4 linked regions of the Arabidopsis thaliana genome follow. The protein of the gene in region 1 purifies or fractionates together with the protein of each later gene. This does not show direct contact. Each region holds a gene or a part of one and is shown in the gene's direction. Other genes may lie near its edges. The genes, in order: AT3G12860, FIB1, NAP57 and AT4G26600.

Evidence for each region.
Region 2: the proteins of AT3G12860 (region 1) and FIB1 fractionate together in Arabidopsis thaliana (co-fractionation; one large-scale study listed by BioGRID). This does not show direct contact.
Region 3: the proteins of AT3G12860 (region 1) and NAP57 fractionate together in Arabidopsis thaliana (co-fractionation; one large-scale study listed by BioGRID). This does not show direct contact.
Region 4: the proteins of AT3G12860 (region 1) and AT4G26600 fractionate together in Arabidopsis thaliana (co-fractionation; one large-scale study listed by BioGRID). This does not show direct contact.

The regions. Positions count from the first base shown.
Region 1 is NC_003074.8:4,089,597-4,094,724, forward strand, and holds AT3G12860 (NOP56-like pre RNA processing ribonucleoprotein), read left to right. Parts: upstream 1-1,970; 5' UTR 1,971-2,081; coding exon 2,082-2,286; intron 2,287-2,510; coding exon 2,511-2,725; intron 2,726-2,806; coding exon 2,807-2,964; intron 2,965-3,058; coding exon 3,059-3,246; intron 3,247-3,346; coding exon 3,347-3,599; intron 3,600-3,671; coding exon 3,672-3,820; intron 3,821-3,914; coding exon 3,915-4,049; intron 4,050-4,128; coding exon 4,129-4,325; 3' UTR 4,326-4,599; downstream 4,600-5,128. Other genes in the region: AT3G12850 (COP9 signalosome complex-related / CSN complex-like protein), read right to left, coding at 1-140, 219-545, 696-707; AT3G12870 (uncharacterized protein), read right to left, coding at 4,821-5,128.
Region 2 is NC_003076.8:21,292,448-21,297,357, forward strand, and holds FIB1 (fibrillarin 1), read left to right. Parts: upstream 1-1,699; 5' UTR 1,700-1,842; coding exon 1,843-1,861; intron 1,862-2,110; coding exon 2,111-2,418; intron 2,419-2,500; coding exon 2,501-2,596; intron 2,597-2,692; coding exon 2,693-2,770; intron 2,771-2,867; coding exon 2,868-3,044; intron 3,045-3,288; exon of another isoform or gene 3,289-3,362; intron 3,363-3,715; coding exon 3,716-3,784; intron 3,785-3,882; coding exon 3,883-4,062; 3' UTR 4,063-4,372; downstream 4,373-4,910. Other genes in the region: EDA41 (FBD, F-box and Leucine Rich Repeat domains containing protein), read right to left, coding at 1-247, 336-474, 569-1,009, 1,102-1,311; AT5G52480 (RNI-like superfamily protein), read right to left, coding at 4,471-4,910. UniProt on the Arabidopsis thaliana protein: S-adenosyl-L-methionine-dependent methyltransferase that has the ability to methylate both RNAs and proteins. Involved in pre-rRNA processing.
Region 3 is NC_003074.8:21,153,310-21,157,781, reverse strand, and holds NAP57 (homologue of NAP57), read left to right. Parts: upstream 1-1,706; 5' UTR 1,707-1,829; coding exon 1,830-3,527; 3' UTR 3,528-3,967; downstream 3,968-4,472. Other genes in the region: SDP1-LIKE (sugar-dependent 1-like protein), read left to right, coding at 4,467-4,472. UniProt on the Arabidopsis thaliana protein: Plays a central role in ribosomal RNA processing. Probable catalytic subunit of H/ACA small nucleolar ribonucleoprotein (H/ACA snoRNP) complex, which catalyzes pseudouridylation of rRNA.
Region 4 is NC_003075.7:13,417,936-13,424,319, forward strand, and holds AT4G26600 (S-adenosyl-L-methionine-dependent methyltransferases superfamily protein), read left to right. Parts: upstream 1-1,625; 5' UTR 1,626-1,693; coding exon 1,694-2,233; intron 2,234-2,329; coding exon 2,330-2,393; intron 2,394-2,522; coding exon 2,523-2,662; intron 2,663-2,764; coding exon 2,765-2,848; intron 2,849-2,939; coding exon 2,940-3,014; intron 3,015-3,103; coding exon 3,104-3,175; intron 3,176-3,268; coding exon 3,269-3,342; intron 3,343-3,587; coding exon 3,588-3,640; intron 3,641-3,722; coding exon 3,723-3,832; intron 3,833-4,035; coding exon 4,036-4,104; intron 4,105-4,189; coding exon 4,190-4,264; intron 4,265-4,434; coding exon 4,435-4,700; coding exon of another isoform or gene 4,701-4,704; exon of another isoform or gene 4,705-4,778; coding exon 4,779-4,878; coding exon of another isoform or gene 4,879-4,905; exon of another isoform or gene 4,906-4,992; coding exon 4,993-5,318; coding exon of another isoform or gene 5,319-5,322; exon of another isoform or gene 5,323-5,422; coding exon 5,423-5,483; 3' UTR 5,484-5,856; downstream 5,857-6,384. UniProt on the Arabidopsis thaliana protein: Involved in ribosomal large subunit assembly. S-adenosyl-L-methionine-dependent methyltransferase that probably methylates the C(5) position of cytosine 1586 (m5C1586) in mitochondrial 26S rRNA.

The DNA.
Region 1 (5,128 bases):
AGGGCCACCAATAGTGTAGCCATGTAAGCATCGATAGTTTGGACCTGCCGGGGATATGGTCGGAAAACGATCGCCATTTGGCCACAGTGGTAATGGAGCCAATACTGACGAAGTGCAAGACGGTCTTTTTCGAGTTCGTCCTGCAAAAGAATAGAAGATTAGATGTACAATATGGAATCTTGTTGCGCAAGCAAAGTTTTATAGTCACTTTTCCTTACCGTAGCACTTTCTAAGTCGTTTCTTAGAATGCTGTCTTGTTTGACGAAATTGTTGTTCTTAGTAAGACGCCATTTTTCATCCAAGAGATAACCTTCTCCTAATCTGCCTTGTATTTTTTCAGCTATAACTGTGAACAAACGCATGTCACAGACAATTCCGTCATTCCGGATAAGATCATAGGCAAGTCGAAGGGCTTCAAGTTCCAAATCGTCAGTGAACATCGGGCCAACAGAATTCTCTGCGATATGAAGTAGCCTCAGCACTAGGTTTCGTCCTTCGTAGTTTCGTGAATAAGCTTCCACATCCAAGTCCAATTGATCATCACCCTAAGTAAAGGTCATTAAACAAGATTTTCAACTTAACGATAACAATATGTTCTTCTTCTTTTTTGTTGACAACAATAACCCAATAGATTTTACAGTAAAACGCAACATTGCACGAACTAAACTGAAAAAAAAAAAACTATTTAAAATTACCTCAATATCCATCTTGTTAACCAATAGTTTTTTCAATACTTAGTCTGCAAGAAACACTTAAGAAAGATAAATGAAGTTAAATCTGATTAACAAATTAACTAAGCTAAGTTTCTGCTGCGAAAACAAATTTGTGTGTGTCATAAACAATATTTTTCTACCAAACTCAATGCTCTGTTAATCTAGCTAGTCGATGGATTCTCCAAATTAAAACTGACAAGATTAACTCTAAACGGAGATTACTTCACATGCAAGAAACATTAAAGAAAGTAACACAGATTAACTGTTCCGAGAGAGAAATCTCATTTAATTGCATGAAAAATTAAGTAAGTCTGCTACAAAAACGAATTATGTCACAAAAACAAAATCATTCACCAAAATCAAAAGATTCAATCAAAGAAACTTTGCACGATTTGGAAAGAAAAATAGTTGAAGTTACCTGTTTATCTTGCTAAGCGATAGAATTTCTCCAAATTGAATCTATGACGATTAATAAATTTAAACGACGATTGCTTCCTATTCAAGAAACACAAAGAAAGTTAGAGAAGTGTCCCAACAACACAAATTAACAGTTCTGAGAGATAGATCTCATTTACTAGCATAAAAGATGAAGCTAAGTTTCTACTGCAATATGATTTTACATAACAAATAAACCCATGCATCAAAGTCAAAAGCTTCAATCGAAACATTACATTTACCGCAACTTTGCACGATTTGGGAATAAAGAAGAGTTAAACTGACCTCAGTTCCTCTTTCTAATCGAGAGATTTCGCAAATTGAATCTGTACGAGTATAATTGATTCACTAGTTGAGCTAATCGTCTTGTTCTGTTGCAGATTCTTGAGCGAAAGAATCTTAAGAACTCACACGTACGGTCTTCAGCAATCCCTTCGATGATGTGACTACAGGACCTTCTATCTCTCTTGTATCTCTCTTTCTCTCTGTTACAGATTAATTTTACAGGAGAAAGAAGAAGAAGATGATCAACAAGAAAGAAGACGACTCTCAACTCTGTAACGGATCAATTAGTTTGTTTATATTACTAACTGATATGATCTGGTACGGGCCCTTCCACAGTAACTGAAGCCCACGCGCGTGTACTTCACCTGAGACCACCTAAACTTTTCCCTCTTTGTATAACAAAAGCTTGTTTTTTTTTCCTTACATGAAGACCATTGACCCATGCTAGTCATTTTGGTTGAGTCCGATAGAATTAATGGGCCAGGCCCATGTAGTTAATCTAAGAGCAAAGCCGCATCATCTTCCGTGCGAAATAACCTTAAACCCTAATTTCTCTTATTCTTCTCCGAAACGGAAACTGCATAAATACTCGATTTTCAAATCAATTTTGAAAAAGACGGCTAGGGTTTTTACAGAATTCTCTCTACAATGAAGATTTATCTTCTTTCCGAATCACCCTCCGGCTACGGATTGTTCGAGGGACACGGTTCCGATGAGATTGGACAGAACACGGAGGCGGTTCGGAGCTCCGTCTCGGACCTTAGTCGGTTCGGGCGGGTCGTCCAGCTCACTGCTTTTCACCCGTTCCAGTCTGCACTCGATGCTCTTAACCAAATCAACGCCGTCTCTGAAGGTGAACTCACTACTAAATTACAGCTCTTTCCCTCTTTAGTTTCCTGCACCATATACTTTATTACTTGCTTCTATTATAGTTTATGCTGGAAAGAGCTTAATTCTTAGAAATTGAGCTCTTACTACTGTTGGAATCAGCTTATTCTGTTCTGTTTTAGCTTTTGCTGGAGGTCTTGATAATAAAGTATTAATATTTGTATTGTTTTTACACCTTAAAAATCGTAGGATACATGAGCGATGAGCTGAGAAGTTTTCTGGAGCTGAATCTCCCGAAAGTGAAGGAAGGCAAGAAGCCCAAGTTTAGTTTGGGAGTGTCTGAGCCTAAAATCGGTTCTTGCATTTTTGAAGCTACCAAAATTCCTTGCCAGAGCAATGAGTTTGTCCATGAGCTCCTTAGAGGTGTGCGTCAGCATTTCGATAGGTTCATCAAAGACTTGAAGGTGTGTTTTTTATTTTTGATTACCTAATACCTACACATATTTTTGCTATTCGTGCTCAATATCATCTTCTTTATAATGTAGCCTGGTGATTTGGAAAAAGCTCAACTTGGACTAGCTCATAGCTACAGCAGAGCAAAGGTGAAGTTCAATGTTAACCGGGTGGATAACATGGTTATTCAAGCTATTTTCATGCTTGACACACTTGATAAGGATATCAATTCCTTTGCTATGAGAGTCAGGTTTGTTTTCTTATTGTTTTGCCTTTCAGATTATGTCTTGTCTGTTACCGTAAGAGAAAATGGTTTCTGAGCAGCTCATATTATGTTTTTGCAGAGAATGGTACTCATGGCACTTCCCTGAGCTTGTCAAGATAGTTAATGACAACTACCTCTACGCCAAAGTTTCAAAGATTATCGTCGACAAGTCAAAGTTGTCTGAAGAGCACATCCCTATGCTTACTGAAGCCCTGGGTGATGAAGATAAGGCAAGAGAGGTTATTGAAGCTGGAAAAGCATCTATGGGTAATAAACTGATGTAGCATGTTCGATAAGAATCATGAATCTTTACAATATATCTATTGTTTCTCATGTTCTAAGACATTGTTGTTTTCTCTATTTGAAGGCCAGGATTTATCACCGGTTGATCTGATCAATGTCCAGACCTTTGCTCAGAGAGTTATGGACCTTGCAGATTACAGGAAGAAGCTCTATGATTATCTTGTTACTAAAATGAGTGACATTGCTCCAAATTTGGCGGCCTTGATCGGAGAGATGGTTGGGGCTAGGTTGATTTCACATGCAGGAAGTCTGACAAATCTTGCCAAGTGCCCATCTTCAACCCTCCAGATTCTCGGTGCTGAGAAGGCACTTTTCAGGTGCATTTCAAGCTTTGTTAGTCTTTACAAGTTTAATTACACTGCAGTAACTAACTTTGGTGTTAATTTCAGGGCACTGAAAACACGTGGAAACACACCCAAATATGGTCTAATATTCCATTCATCATTCATCGGGCGTGCATCTGCTAAAAACAAGGGCCGTATTGCTCGTTTCCTTGCAAACAAGTGTTCCATTGCTTCCCGGATTGATTGTTTCTCAGGTAATAATCTAGAGAATGTCCTGAATAAGAGAGAGGTGTTTGGGAGATGATGCGTTGTTATTAACTACAAAATCATGGTGGTTGTGTTATGCAGATAACAGCACTACAGCTTTCGGTGAGAAACTAAGGGAACAAGTAGAGGAAAGACTTGACTTTTATGACAAAGGTGTTGCCCCACGTAAGAATGTTGATGTAATGAAAGAAGTGTTGGAAAATCTTGAGAAGAAAGGTACATATGACCCAACAAAGCTCTCTGATCTGTTGTGGTAAACGGTTTTGTTTGATGGGTTGTTTCTTCTTTTTTTAAGACGAGGGAGAAAAAACAGTGGATGCTTCGGAGAAGAAAAAGAAGAGAAAGACAGAGGAGAAGGAGGAGGAGAAGGAAGAGGAGAAATCAAAGAAAAAGAAAAAGAAAAGCAAAGCAGTAGAAGGAGAGGAATTGACAGCAACAGATAATGGCCATAGCAAGAAGAAGAAGAAAACTAAGTCACAAGATGATGAATAAACAAACAAGTCTGTGTAATACACTAGTTTTTAGTTTTCTTTCTTCTACATAGGGTTTTGACTTTAAGAACAACTTTAAACATAGCGCAAATTAGATAAGGTTTTCTACTTTTGAATTAAGTCTGTCTTAGCCAAATGAAAACAAGCTTGAGTCTCTGTCTTGCGAGTTTATGACTTAAAAACAACTAAAAACATATATAATTATCAGATTTTCTACAATTGAGTCTGTCTTAAACAAAAGAACAAGCTTTTGATTATTTATCAGGTCTGGTTTTTAACTTTTGAAGATGATCAAATTTTTGTTGATGTTGAAATGGATCTTCAAGTATGTATGGATATGTTTTTGCTCAATTCTTTGAAAATGTCGACAAAACAAATTAACATTACAAAAAAGGATTGAAGGAGATGAATCAAACATGTTGTTTTTCTTTATTATCACTAAAATTGCAGAAACCAGAGAATTCTGCTAAAGCATAGCAACAAAAGAGCAAAAGAATCAATCGCAGAGAATGAGTCTAATCATGGCAAGAACCAAACACGAAACAGAGAAGAAGAAGAGCGTCACAAAATCCCTAGCAGACCATTTCTTCACAGGCTTCGACTCAACTCTTAAACTCTTGGCTCTACGAAGCGCATCCACTTCCTTAAGCAAATCAAATTCGATACCTTTCTTCTTCAACTCTTCAACACATTTACGCAACAGCTTCGCATCTTCTTTCTCCCTCTCCAACAACTTCTCAAGATGCGATTCCACTTCAGATTTGTACCGTACCGCCCAAATGATCCCCAAGGAAGATAGCAGAG
Region 2 (4,910 bases), on another chromosome or scaffold:
TCTTCAAGATGGAAGGTTGATATCTCTCTCTTCAAGATTGAAGATTGAAAATGTTCCCATATAGATGTGACTGTCACTTTCTTTAAACACTTTGCATTAGCAAAAATGTATCTTATGAGCTGTGTCTCTTCTTCGTTTCCTCTATATCCATGCCACACAAACTCCTCATCTAAATGAGCCGACAAGCATCTGGGAACAGTACCTTGGTTGGTACCATGACAATGGGAGATTTCCGGGTCGATATCCACTTACCTGGATGCAAGTACATAAAAATCTATGAGGTGGAATCAAAGAATCAGTTTATACAACAAGGAGATTGCGTTGTTACTTGTTACTTACAGAAGTGATAGCAAGAAATCTTAGTTTAGGAGAGTTGTTGAGAATTAGTGGAATTATATCCAACCAGAGATGGCCATGTGGACATATCACTAATTTTCCAAGTCGAGTGAAGGTAAAGCCACGAAAATCCAGAGCCTTCAATGACTAAATCAAAAGCCAATATAAATCAATGTGATCAAACCTAACAGCCAAGAAGAAAAAAAACAATAATAATAAAAAGGATAGATACCATTGGATCTTCCAAAGGTAACACAAGATACGTGACCAAGGAAATAGCTTTGAGAAACTTGTCATCAGTATGACATACAACGTCGATATGTGGCTTTTCAAGGCGAAGCTTATGCACCTTCGCGAAACGGTAGTCCCGGTTATCACTGATGGCGAGGCCCACTTTCGATCGGGCAAGAACTGAGCAACTTGATATAAGCCTCTCTAGAGAATTTTCATCTTTGAACACCACATAAAAAAGGCGTAATATGTTGAGTGACGGGAGGCAAACCGAAGAAGGAACATCCACTATAATCTTGTCCGAAAGAGTCAATTCCACAAGTGTTTTGCATGTGTAAAGACTCTTAGGCAAGCTGGTAGGCTCTGCCGTCCAGTGGAGCTCTAACTCTAGCTTGCGCACAAAGCGATCAACTGCATTTGCAACTAATTTCCCAACATCTACCTCAATAGAAAATTTTTACCGAGTTGGATGCACAAAGTTTCTAGAAAAGGTGCCTTGTGAAGTTCCAATAACTTTTCAAGAAACTTCCACACGCTTTCGCATTCATCACCAGGATCACTGTACTCGAGTTTAGGCAACAACGTCCAGACATAACGCCATCGTTTTGACAATATCATTGTCCCAACTGCATCTTTGATCGGTACAAGCAACAAAATCTGGATAAGCAAATCGTCGGGCAACGAACTGATCTCGTCTCTAGAAGCAACAACCTCTTCATCAATTCTTTGACAACGTTCGGCCATTAGTGATGTAATAGCTAGCTGAGTTTGTGATAAAGATTTCAAATATAGGTAAGCAGAGACGAGGAGGAGCAAGTCGAACCCTAAAAACTTTAGATGATCGAGAACCTTAGATATATTCGTAATTTCTCTATGAGAAATTGAGAATAAGTGAATAACTAACTCTTCTTGTCTCACAAAAATAAAACCCTAACTTATCTTTTCCGTGAGACATAAACAAACCCACTTTGGGCCAATAAAATCGGCCCATTATTATCTTGACCCAATCCGGATCAAACCCAACTCCATACTTTGGAGTTTGGACCCATCGTTACCAATGTAGTAGACTAATGTAGTTAAGATATATATAATAGAAGGGCCTATTTATAAAATACAAGAAATGTTACCAAAGCATAAACCCTAAAAGCCCTAAAATCTTAATATATAAACCAACTCACAGAGACTCTAAAATCAGCCACCACCGCACATCTCTCTCCTTTGCCCTCGTTTTTTTTCGGTTCTCGTCTTTCGTTCTTCACTTTTAGACAAGCAAATATGAGACCCCCAGTTACAGGTAAGAACCTTAGTTAAAGTTTATGTCTTTCTTGTTCTGTCTGCCTCTAGAGTATAACCCTGTCCGTATCAAATCTGAATTCGTATCATTACGGTTTCTGTAGTTTGAATTGGTAGTTAGGGTTTTAATTCATGAGCCTTTTGTATCTTCACTGTTTCAATAAAGTTCAAAGATAAAAGTAGAGATTTTTAATAACACTCTGTTCTTCCGTTTAGTTAATTTTCTGTATGTTGGTATTGTTATAATCAGGAGGACGTGGTGGTGGAGGATTCAGAGGTGGAAGAGATGGTGGTGGAAGAGGTTTTGGAGGTGGAAGAAGCTTTGGAGGAGGCCGTAGTGGTGACAGAGGCCGTAGTGGGCCTCGCGGCAGAGGACGTGGTGCGCCTCGTGGTCGTGGAGGACCACCTCGTGGAGGAATGAAAGGAGGAAGCAAAGTGATTGTTGAGCCTCACAGACATGCGGGAGTGTTTATTGCTAAGGGTAAAGAAGATGCTCTTGTCACTAAGAATTTGGTTCCTGGTGAAGCTGTTTACAATGAGAAGAGAATCTCTGTTCAGGTATGAAGTTTGAGGATTGTTTTCTTTATAATTAAATTGAGTTTGTTTTTGTTCTTATATTATAGCTACTTCACTTTTGCAGAATGAAGATGGAACTAAGGTTGAATACAGAGTTTGGAATCCGTTTAGATCTAAGTTAGCTGCTGCAATTCTTGGTGGTGTCGACAACATTTGGATCGTAAGTCCATCTATACACATACCACATTGACTCTGTTTTCTTTTTTTGTATTGAAAGACATGTGCTTGAATTGGTTCTTTGTTAAAACTTTTGTAGAAACCTGGTGCCAAAGTTCTTTACTTGGGTGCTGCTTCTGGGACCACTGTCTCTCATGTTTCTGACCTCGTTGGCCCTGTAAGTCTTTCACTAAATTATTATTTTAGTTATCCGTAGGTCCATTTCTATCCTATGTTTGAGACTTATCTTTGTTCTATTGCTTTATGATTTGTAGGAGGGATGTGTTTATGCTGTTGAGTTTTCTCATAGAAGTGGTAGAGATTTGGTGAACATGGCCAAGAAGAGAACTAACGTTATTCCAATCATTGAAGATGCTAGACATCCGGCTAAGTACAGAATGCTCGTGGGCATGGTTGATGTCATATTCTCTGATGTTGCTCAGCCAGATCAGGTTTGGTTCTATATTTCTTACTATGAAAGTTTGAAGTTACCCTTTCTACAGTTTTATTCACAAAGGTTACGTCATATTGCATTGCATCTTTTGCTTTTAAAATATCAGTTCATTGAAATCGGCATATGATGACATTTCATTTACTATGAAATGTTTGAAGCCTTTTTATTTTACAGTTATATCTTCAAAGTTTTTTTTTATTGCATTGCATCTTTTGCTTTTAAAAAAATCAGTACAATGAAATCGGCAGATGATGATTTTACTTGGATTCCCCTTCAGAACATTTATGGGTGTTGCAAACTCCAAGCTTCTGATGCTACTTTGTATCTTTTTACTAAAATTTTTTACTTTGAACATGCAAATCTGTTTTAATCTCAAAGTTTTTATTTGTCTTCATTTGGTATATCTTATCGATTTGGAAGAAGTCTTTTCGGTTTCTTCTGGTTTTCAACAATTGCATTTTCAAGTCATTTAGAAGTTTTACTTTATTACTAAACTTGGAGACTCAATTGTTGTAGCAATATTGCTGAGCTAGCAGAGATTGCTCCAAGAAATCTGCAATGATTCCATAAATGTTTCTATGTTTATGTTAATGTCTCTCTTTATTCTCATTTTGGTTCTCTGTTTATGTTTTATTTAATTGAATCCATCTATTTGCCTAACTCTTGAAGGCAAGAATCTTGGCCCTGAATGCCTCATTTTTCCTCAAAACTGGTGGACACTTTGTTATCTCAATCAAGGTCAGTGCTCTTATCCTTAATCAAATTCAACAATGTTCTCCTCTGTTATTATTCAATTTGTATTTCCGTCGCTAAATAAACATGTCTCATCTGTTCAGGCCAACTGTATCGACTCTACAGTTGCAGCAGAAGCAGTCTTCCAGAGCGAGGTGAAGAAGCTGCAACAAGAGCAGTTTAAGCCAGCAGAACAGGTGACTCTCGAGCCGTTTGAGCGTGACCATGCCTGTGTTGTTGGTGGTTACCGCATGCCGAAGAAACAAAAGACCCCAGCCTCATAGAGGAACTGTGGACAGTAGTGCCTGTGTATTAAGACTTATTTACTGGGTTTTGTTTTTATCTCCTTGCTTGTTGTATTAAGCTAGAGATGGATAATGCTTTTATGTCTCATTTGGAAAATTTTATCCTCGTTTTAGAACTAATATATATTGATGCAACATTTTCGTCCAATGATTGTATCTCCATCAGTCTTTTCTATGCTTGTTTTTGCTTGGCTATAAGAACTACTGTCCATTTTAATCCTACTTGTTTCTGCATGCTGAATTGATTGTTGAAGTAGTTTGTTTTGAACATGATTATGCTCAAGAAAAGGCGTAAAAGTATCACTTAGCTCTGAAAGGAACTCATTTTTTTTTGGTTAATAAAATTTTAAACACAAACAAACCGACTAAGTGTTATTGACATAAGTCTCAATACAGTTTCAAGTAATATTCGGCTTCTTCCACTATTGGATCAAAGTTATAGGCGCCTTCTTCCATCGGTAGCGCATTTTTAAGTATTGCCAATTGGCGTGACCAATGAAAATAGTAAGTTTCAAAAGAAAACGGGTAATCAGCAGAGGTAGAATCATTGTGGCGTCTCAAATCTTTAATTTTCTCAAAACAACGCTTCTCTAGATTCCCGACAAGGTTGATACATTGGCGTAAATCGAGGTGTTCCAGGTGAGGACAACCGTCAAGAATGGCGTTTAAGCCTGTTTTGGTTAGTTTGTTCCCACAAAGCTGGAGATGGCGTAGTTTAGGCATGCTTTCTGCAATTGCTATGGCATCATGATCATCATCATCCGAACTTAAGTAAAAGAGGCGGTTTAGCATCAATGTCTTCAGATTTGGACAAGACAGCCCTGCAA
Region 3 (4,472 bases), about 17 Mb from region 1:
CTACAGACTTGACTCTCTTCTAAGCATTTTATCTTAGTTACTATTAGATTATTTGGATTTTGCCAAATGGGAATGTAAATGGTTGGGTGACCCAATTCATGTTGCACATTATTGGCTTTTACCCTCTGCTTTTTCTTCCTAGCTTCATCTAATGATTGCACCCTATTTATTTAGTATGATCATTTTGATACCAAAATTCAACAATTTGTAAAACTGATAACACCTTCATAGCCAACTTAAAGAACTTGCTTTTATATAAGGCAACGATAGAAAGAAATAAGAACAAATTGTAAAGAGCTAGGACAGTGATATTTGCGTTGAAATTACGCTGGAATTACAAGAATTCAAAGATCCACACGAGGCACATTAGAGGTTTTTTAAAATCTAGAAAACACTCTGTTTTTTGGGTTAAGGTCAGCCTTAAATAACAGCCAATCCTGATATACCCTTGAAACTTGATAGATAAATGACCTTATTGAGTTAACGAAAGAAAAGACATGAGAATTGATGAAGCTATGACAAAAACCAGATGTATCACATGTCATCTTCGATCCAAAGTGGCTGCTTCTTCCATGTTTGTGACTGATTAGTCTTCTTTTCACGTATAAACAGAGACAGAGAAGCACGAGTTTCATCAATCACTACTAAACCATCTCTCTTTTGGGTTTTCTCCAGTTTTGGATTGGTGGCGACAAGGCTTGTCGTAGCCGGAGGAGAAGCTCGTGGGTAGAAGAAGTCGGTCGGGAAGAAACTATATTGAAGGCCGGCCATTTCCTACTTCAGCCCAGTGTTTTCTCTTTGGTGAGTTTTAGGTTTAAAGAAAAATTGTTTGTTTGTTAAGCGACTATTTATTGGCGAGACAAGAGAGAGAGCCAGAGAGCTGACTTTACCTAAATGCAGAAACTTAAGGTGTAAAATGTAAAAGTCTGAAACAATGGGACCTATATTCTTGAAAAAACTTGGGGTTATTTTTGTTCATTATGCGAATCAGTTAGCGTAAATAAGGATATTCGAAGAATTATTTCACTATATTCTAGGGCGGTGGTTGATTTGTTCAAGAATTTTAGAATCAAATCGAAACACTTCACTCGAAACATTTTAAAATCGTGATAATTTTTCATGTCTTTGAATGGCCACATAAATCTTATGGTATTTATATATGCGGAAAAAGAGAGTAGTATACACTTAACTATATTCATCCATATTTATGATTTTCTGTGGTCAAGACTTGGTTTTAGTAATATAAGGATTGTCTTCTTGTTACTGAAAAAGACAGACGTTCGACTCTTAATATAATAATTATCACGAGGCGTTATTCATGCTTCATTAGGTTTATATGACCAATCAATACTTCTAATTATATAAGCAGTTTTATTAACATAACATTCAATTGTCTCGTATCAAAAGAGCTTTTTTCTACATTTTGGGCACAACAAAAGAGAACCTTAATTATCTACACAAAAAGGGTTATATTTACTTTGAAGTTTGAACTATGAAAGGTCTTTAAACTGGTATTCACTTCACGAATGATAATATTCAAACGAATTGAACTTGTATGAAAGTCCAATTAAAGGTTTTATCGGGTATATGGACCTCGTTTATTTGGGCACTAAACGAATTGAACTTGTATAAAAGCCCAATTAAAATCAAAGAAACCCAACTCAAGCCCAATAAGGGATTACCTTCAAGCTTCCAGTGTCATCACTGTCGCCTAAAACCCTAAAAAACCCTAGTCCTTTATAAATTACCAATCAGTCGTCTCCTCTTTTTCCGCTACAACTTTTAACGCCTCCTCCTCCATTTTTCAAAACCCTAATCCGACCGGAGCCATGGCGGAGGTCGACATCTCACACTCGAAGAAGAAGAAGCAAGACAAAACGGAGAACGATGCCGCCGACACCGGAGACTACATGATCAAGCCACAGAGTTTCACTCCAGCCATCGACACTTCTCAGTGGCCCATCCTCCTCAAGAACTACGACCGCCTCAACGTCCGTACCGGTCACTACACTCCAATCAGCGCCGGTCACTCTCCTCTGAAACGTCCTCTTCAAGAGTATATCAGGTACGGTGTCATCAATCTCGATAAACCCGCGAACCCTTCTTCTCACGAGGTCGTTGCTTGGATTAAGCGTATCCTCCGTGTTGAGAAAACCGGTCACAGTGGTACTCTTGACCCAAAAGTCACTGGAAACCTCATTGTCTGTATTGACCGAGCCACACGGCTTGTGAAATCGCAGCAAGGTGCGGGTAAAGAGTACGTTTGTGTTGCTCGGCTTCACTCAGCTGTCCCTGATGTTGCTAAAGTAGCTAGAGCTCTTGAATCGCTCACTGGAGCTGTGTTTCAGAGGCCTCCTTTGATCTCTGCTGTTAAAAGACAGCTTAGGATTAGGACAATCTATGAAAGCAAGCTGCTTGAGTATGATGCTGATAGGCATTTGGTTGTTTTCTGGGTTTCTTGTGAGGCGGGTACTTACATTAGGACTATGTGTGTTCACTTGGGTTTACTTCTTGGGGTTGGTGGGCATATGCAGGAGCTTAGGAGGGTTAGGTCTGGGATTTTGGGTGAGAATAATAACATGGTTACTATGCATGATGTGATGGATGCCCAATTTGTGTATGACAACTCCAGAGATGAGTCTTATCTTAGGAGGGTGATTATGCCTCTTGAGATGATATTGACGAGTTACAAGAGACTTGTTGTCAAGGATTCTGCTGTGAATGCTATCTGTTATGGTGCTAAGTTGATGATTCCTGGGTTGTTGAGATTCGAGAATGACATTGATGTTGGTACTGAAGTCGTTCTTATGACTACCAAGGGTGAGGCGATTGCCGTTGGGATTGCTGAGATGACAACATCTGTGATGGCTACTTGTGATCATGGTGTGGTAGCTAAGATCAAGCGTGTGGTGATGGATAGAGATACCTACCCGAGGAAGTGGGGATTGGGACCAAGGGCTTCTATGAAGAAGAAGCTTATTGCTGATGGGAAATTGGATAAGCATGGGAAGCCTAATGAGAAGACTCCGGTTGAGTGGAGCAGGAATGTGGTTTTGCCTACCGGTGGAGATGCTATAATTGCTGGTGCTGCTGCTGCTCCTGAGGAGATAAAGGCTGACGCTGAGAATGGAGAAGCAGGGGAAGCGCGTAAGCGTAAGCATGATGATAGCAGTGATAGCCCTGCTCCTGTAACAACCAAGAAATCTAAAACCAAAGAAGTTGAAGGAGAAGAGGCTGAAGAGAAGGTGAAGTCTTCTAAGAAGAAGAAGAAGAAGGATAAGGAAGAGGAGAAAGAAGAGGAAGCCGGGTCTGAGAAGAAGGAAAAGAAGAAGAAGAAAGATAAGAAGGAGGAGGTTATAGAAGAGGTAGCTTCACCAAAGTCTGAGAAGAAGAAGAAAAAGAAGAGCAAAGACACCGAAGCTGCTGTTGACGCAGAAGATGAATCAGCAGCAGAGAAGAGTGAGAAGAAAAAGAAAAAGAAGGATAAGAAGAAGAAGAACAAAGACAGTGAGGATGATGAGGAATGAGATGGGTTTGCGTTATGGTGCTTTTTAAGTTTTGAACTCTTTTGATTTTGCGGTATCTATCTACTCTGGAACAAAGTGAGACAAAAGGCATTTTATGCTTGTATTCTACGTCTCGCTTACGTTACCAGATTTTATGTTTTTGTAAGGTTAGTTTCAGTTCTAAGCAGATTCTCCCTTTAGTTATATGACTGTGGTCTCTCTCTCTGTTTTTGGTCTTTGCCCTTCTTGTCTGTCTGTTTGTCTGTTTGGCAACGAGGATAATAATAGACCTAAATCAGTATTAAAAGTTACGGGTTTTTAACTTTCAACAAACGGGCCTTAGCCCTGACCAAAAAATGGGCCTGATTACGAGAACTCAGTCCTTTGTTGTCTGTCGCTGGGTCTAGAGATGATTATCTCGGATAATACCGAACTTATTTAATACGAACCAGAGATGTTTGAATTCAACGGTTTTATATTCGTCGAGTTTCAAAAAACAGAGACTATTTGTGCAAAAAGACAATTTTTTATTCTTTTGCAATTTGTCGTGTTCGCGAGTTTATGTTCCCAAAATTAGAAAGTCCAAAGATTAGCTTGGGTCTTACTTAGATCGCCAATTTTGTCTCATAGCAAAAATGAATCTCAGGTTTCATTTAAATGAATTTCCTCTGTTCTTCGCTAAAAACGAAATCTTGAAGTCCTCTATTATACATCGGAATCTTTTCTTTTTCTATGTTATCTTGCAGATCCCTATGCCTCCCATCACTTGCTGTCTCATCTTTCTCAATTTCATTCCTCGGTGGGTTAGCGATATCTCCTTCTCTTCTCTAATGGGTTTGAAAAAATCGATTTTTTGATTCATCTGATTCTGGTCTTACAGACAAAATTGGCATCTGGGTTCGATTCTTTGTGTCCGTCGTAAAAACCAGTGATTAGGTTCTCGTCTTCGAGTCGGAGACAATGGAT
Region 4 (6,384 bases), on another chromosome or scaffold:
TCAAGTTTCTGTTTCTAAGACACACACTGTCTTATTCAATCTGTTTCATGTCAACGTCTATGACTAGGTTCTATGTGTTATAAATAACTTGCAACTTCACCAAAAACATAATACATTTTTTTTTGACAGCCAAACTACATATATATCCTGCAAATGATAATATTTCAAATTCTAACACAATTTTACAAGAAATTTCAACCAATCAATCAAATTATTTTTGGTAGTTGGAATTAAAATTCACCAAAAATAAATTCGTGTTTTCATTCTTAAAGAAGAAACAGAATCGTTTAGAACTGATTTTAGAAAATTACGTGATTCATTTCAGTTTTTGTTATCAACATCACTAGCTTCAATCATGCATGGGCTGAGCATGTAACGCAGGTAGAGATGTCAAAATGGGTTAAAATTCATGGGTTAACTCAACTCAATTCAACCCATGAACTCTAATGAGTTGAAAATTTTGACTCAAATGAGTTAATGGGTCAAATGAGTTGATGAGTCAATTGGTTTGATGAGTAAAATGAGTTGGGTTGTAATGGTTAATGATTTCAATGGTTTACCCAATTAACCCATCAAGTTTTGTAAAATTGAATTAAACCAACTAAAATTTCTAAACCAATGCCAATTTAAGTTTAACCAACACATTTAAACCAATTTAATAAAATTAATATTTTTCCAAATTTCTTAAATATACAAGCGATGAAATTGATAAAAAGTAAACTCGTAATTTTTCACTAAAAAGATAAACCCGTGATTTTCCCGCCAAAAACGTAAATCCATAATTTTCCCGCCAAAAACGTAAACTCGTAATTTTCCAGCCAAAAACGCAAATCCGTAATTTTCCCGCCAAAAACGTAAACTCGTAATTTCCCGCCAAAAACGTAAACCCGTGATTTTCCCGCCAAAAACGTAAATCCGTTATTTTCCCGCCAAAACGTAAACTCATAATTTTCCCGCCAAAAACGTAAATCCGTAATTTTCCCGCCAAAAACGTAAACTCGTAATTTTCCCGCCAAAAACGTTAACCCGTGATTTTCCCGCCAAAAACGTAAACCCGAGATTTTCCTGTCAAAAATGTAAACCCGTAATTTTCCCACCAAAAACATAAACCCGTAATTTTCCTGCCAAAAACGTAAACCTATAATTTTCTCGCCAAAAACATAAACCTGTGATTTTTCCGCCAAAAACGTAAACCCGTAAAAAGTGGAATCCGTAAATATTTTAAGTTTGATGATAATGAATTAATAATATTAATTATTTATTATTGTTTTATAATAATAATTAATTAAATTATTATTTAAATGGGTTAACCCATTTAACAATTCAATCCATCAAATTAAATGAGTTATGGGTTGACCCAACTCATTTAACATCTAAACTTATTTGATTAAGAGTTGAGTTGGATTACCCATTTTGAAACCCCTAAACGCATACATCAAATAACTTATTGAATTATGTTTTTATAGGTTTTATGAATTCAGTGGCTCGATAATTTATTAGGCTGACAAAAAATAAGTTCGACTACAGCCCATTAGTTAGTATTAGTCAGGCCCATTAGTTAGTATCAATCAAGCCCATTAAGCAACTTTGCTCATCCTCCATCTTTACTAGATTCTTCGACCTTGCTTCTCCTACCTCTGCAATTCTGCTAAACCCTCACGGCGATAAACCCTAAGTTGTAAAAACCGTATCCATGGCTGCTCTTACGCGTAACAAGAAGAAGGGTTCCAATTCACAGACTCCGCCACTGAATAAGCAGACTAAGGCGTCTCCGCTGAAGAAGGCGGCTAAAACCCAGAAGCCTCCATTGAAGAAGCAGAGGAAATGTATTTCGGAGAAGAAGCCCCTCAAAAAGCCTGAAGTTTCCACAGACGAGGAAGAAGAAGAAGAAGAGAATGAACAGTCTGATGAAGGGTCTGAATCAGGTTCTGATTTGTTCTCTGATGGTGATGAAGAAGGAAACAATGATAGTGATGATGATGATGATGATGATGATGATGATGATGATGATGATGAGGATGCAGAACCCTTAGCTGAAGACTTTCTCGATGGTAGCGATAATGAGGAGGTAACCATGGGTTCTGATTTGGATTCTGACTCTGGTGGATCCAAACTCGAGAGGAAATCTAGAGCTATTGATAGAAAACGTAAAAAGGAGGTACAAGATGCAGACGATGAATTCAAGATGAACATTAAGGAGAAACCTGATGAGTTTCAGCTACCAACCCAAAAGGTTACATTTTCCTTTACTTAATTGTGGATTTGTTCATATTCTGGATCTCTGGAGCTATTTGTTAGCTAATCTTTTCTATTACTCTACATTGTTTAGGAACTTGAAGAAGAGGCACGTCGGCCGCCAGATCTTCCTAGCTTGCAAATGAGGATAAGAGAGAGTGAGTAACATTTTCAAATTTTATTCCTTTTTAAGAATTCTGGTGTAATGTTATTATTATGATTGTTTTAAATCTCCTAAGGAATCATCCTCTCGGTTCTTAGTTTAATGGTACTAATTTGTGTTTCAGTTGTTAGAATCCTGTCGAATTTTAAGGACTTGAAGCCAAAAGGAGACAAGCACGAGAGGAATGATTATGTTGGACAGCTTAAAGCTGATCTTAGTTCTTACTACGGCTATAATGAGTTTCTTATTGGAACTTTAATTGAGGTTATTCCCTAGTCTCTGACTTTACTCTTTATGCTTGCTTTGATCTAGAGTTATGTGTAGGAATTCTGTTACTTATACTCTTTAGTTGTAATCTTCTGGCAGATGTTTCCTGTTGTTGAACTCATGGAACTAATCGAAGCTTTTGAAAAGAAAAGACCTACATCTATACGTACTAACACTCTTAAGGTGAACTTGGTTGTGCATTGGAGTGTCTAAAACAAAGTATTTCTCAGCTGTTGTGATATTTCAATTAATGCTGATGTTTGTTTTGGTTAAGACTCGAAGACGGGATCTGGCTGATATACTTTTGAACAGAGGAGTTAATCTAGACCCATTAAGCAAGTGGTCAAAAGTAAGTAGTATTTGCAGATTGTCTTCCATTTTATTTGCGAAAACATTTTTGTGGACCATCTTTAGTTGATCCTGGCATAATATTTGTAGGTTGGACTTATCGTTTATGATTCACAAGTTCCGATTGGTGCAACTCCTGAATATTTGGCAGGATTCTATATGGTACTTGATTTTCTGATTTTTTTTGTACTTTTCGGCTCACACTTTATGGGTTTTCTTATTGTTTACTTAAGTATGTTCTTGGTACATTTTCAGTTGCAAAGTGCTAGTTCGTTCTTGCCAGTGATGGCCCTTGCTCCTCGAGAAAAAGAACGAGTTGTGGACATGGCGTAAGTCATTATCTTACATAAATGCACTATATTTGTGTCTCAGATAAATATATATATATATATATGATGACCAAGCAGTACCTTAATCTGATATTCAAGTGTAGCTTGTGATATGTATCATTTGTTATGATTGTTGTGATGATAAGTGCTGTCAAAACGGAAAAGCCAATTTGATTGTCCCGTGATGTGAGACATATGCAACTAGTATATTGTGATATCTGTAACAAGTTCTTATACCACTGCAGTGCTGCCCCTGGTGGTAAAACAACATATGTTGCTGCACTAATGAAAAATACAGGTATACATATATTGGTTCCTTATTCCTCCAGCCCCATAATTTTAGTCAGTTATATCTAATGTTATAATGTTTATATAACCAGGCATAATATATGCAAACGAGATGAAAGTACCTAGGCTTAAGTCACTTTCTGCCAATCTACATCGCATGGGAGTGACAAATACCATAGTTTGTAACTATGACGGACGAGAGGTTAGTTTCTTGAACCTTTATTCTTCTGTTGACGGTACATGCTTGAGGATGTTAAATATTGCAAACTGGTTGTAAACCATCAGCTCAACCAAATTGAAAAATTACTGGCAAGACTGTAATTGCACCAAATAACAAAGTTTTAAAGACAGCTTCTCTATTATTCCCTTGCATTTTTTATTTATCTCATCTTCTTTGCCTTTCAGCTAACCAAAGTTTTAGGTCAGAGCTCGGTTGATAGAGTATTGCTGGATGCTCCCTGCAGTGGAACTGGAGTAAGAAAGTTTGGACCATACACTCTTATAGTCTTTTAAGTGAATTTCTCTGTTCATAGTTTAATGTCACTTCTACACAATGCAGGTTATATCAAAAGACGAATCAGTTAAAACTTCCAAAAGTGCTGATGACATAAAGAAATTTGCCCATTTGCAAAAGGTATGTTGTTGCCTTAAACAATATCAACTAAAACATTCTTTACATCCAAGACAAATATTTAAACATGAAAATGGCATAAACGCCGTTTATACCCTCTTACTGTGAGTATATAAAGAAGGATGCATTTGGTATATAATGCTAACCATACTCTCTTCTTTTCTTGCGCATAGCAACTTATACTTGGTGCGATTGATTTGGTAGACGCCAATTCCAAAACCGGTGGATATATTGTTTACTCAACATGTTCAGTTATGATACCCGAGGTTGGTGAACCATACTTTTTCTGTTCCACTATTTTTTTTTCCTGGCATCTTCATGTTTTCTCACTAGTTCTATTTGTACAACAAATTATGCAGAACGAAGCTGTCATCGATTATGCTCTGAAAAACAGGGATGTTAAACTCGTTCCATGTGGACTTGATTTTGGCCGACCAGGGTAATATACATTTTCATCTGCATTGAAAAATTTCATGATTCGTCATCTGAACACAAATGTTTTGCTGCATATCTTCAGATTTAGCAGTTTTAGAGAACACCGGTTCCACCCTTCTTTAGAGAAGACTAGACGTTTCTATCCTCACGTGCACAACATGGATGGATTCTTTGTTGCAAAGGTATACACTTGGTTAACCTATGAATAGCTTTTCCCTGCAAAACAGATGTTTTATAAAATATGAATAGTGATTAAACCAACGAGGTATTTACTTTTTCCTTTCTTTGTTCTGCAGCTGAAGAAGATGAGCAATGCAATGCAGCCTTCAGGAAATGATGAGCCAGCTGTAACAATGGAGCAAGCTCAGGTGTCGTCTAGTGATGATGATGATGAGAAAGCTGAGGCCATTGAGGAGTTGGAGAAGCCACCTGTTGCCAGTGGGCAACCCAAGAGAGAGAGTAACACTAAAGAAGACACGAACAAACGAAAAAATCCAAGGTCAAAGGAAATTCACAAAGGCAAAAGGAATAAAAACACAAAAACCGAAAGTGGTAATGTGGAAGAACCCAGGAAGCAAAAGAAGAAGAGATCACAATGGAAGAATGAGATTGCTCAAGCTAGGTAAAAAAACTAAGTGTTTCCTTGACAGACAAAAGAGAAAACCTTCTTATGTACATTGTTGTATCATACACCCATTTACCCATAAATGGTTGAATATGTTGCAGGGAAGAAAAAAGAAAAACCATGAGAGAGAATGCTAAGGAGACGCCAAAGCACAGGGGATAAGAATAGGTTTGAGATCGTGATGCATCTTGAAGAGTAGAATATTTCGGTGTTCTGGCCATGGCGAAGGACACAAGAAAAGAGGCTTCATTGGCTGAGGCCAAGGTATCTATACAATGGCTTTCTAGTTTTGATTAATTTACTGCGTAAAGAAAGGGTGACACCCACATGGATTAGCTGTTACATGTCCAAAAGTTTTGTATCAATCACATAACTTGATTTTTGTGAGAGGCTGTTTCTATTTTCCGTTTTCAATTGGAGTTGTAAAATTTATTGAAAACAAAAACGAGTCCCTACTTTCTCTCACAAGTGTGTTTGAAAGGCTATTCATTTTTCTGCTCCTAGCAATTATTTAATAAAATACATAAATCTTGGAGGGTTGGGTCCATACCACCACATAAGGATAGAATTTCTCATAGTATTGATTTGACGAAAAAATAAGGGAATTGGGAGTGAGCTGGTCATTGTTAGGGAGAGATGTGAAGGTTTTCTGAAGTGGGACTTGAGTGTTGGAGAAACATGACAATCCAATTCAACTCTTCTTCATCCATCTTTATCAGATTCTCCTCCGTTGGGGACCTTACATTTACTTCTCTCACACTAATCTTCTTGTTTCTATTTTTAGATTATAAGCCCATATTATAACTGCTAGTGCTTGTAGCCTTGTATACACAAACTCACATGCATCACATATAACATCGTATAATTGCTGTATTCACTTTATATTTGGATATCCAAGATTATAGAAAAGAGATTCCTTTGCAGGACCCAAAAGATACAGCTTTTAAAAGCAAATGAGTTCATTTTAATTTCTTGCTAACCAAAATGGTAAGTAATTTTGTGGACTTATGGTATGGATAAATAACAAAATCTCAATAAACCATTGAAAATAGGAAATCAAAAA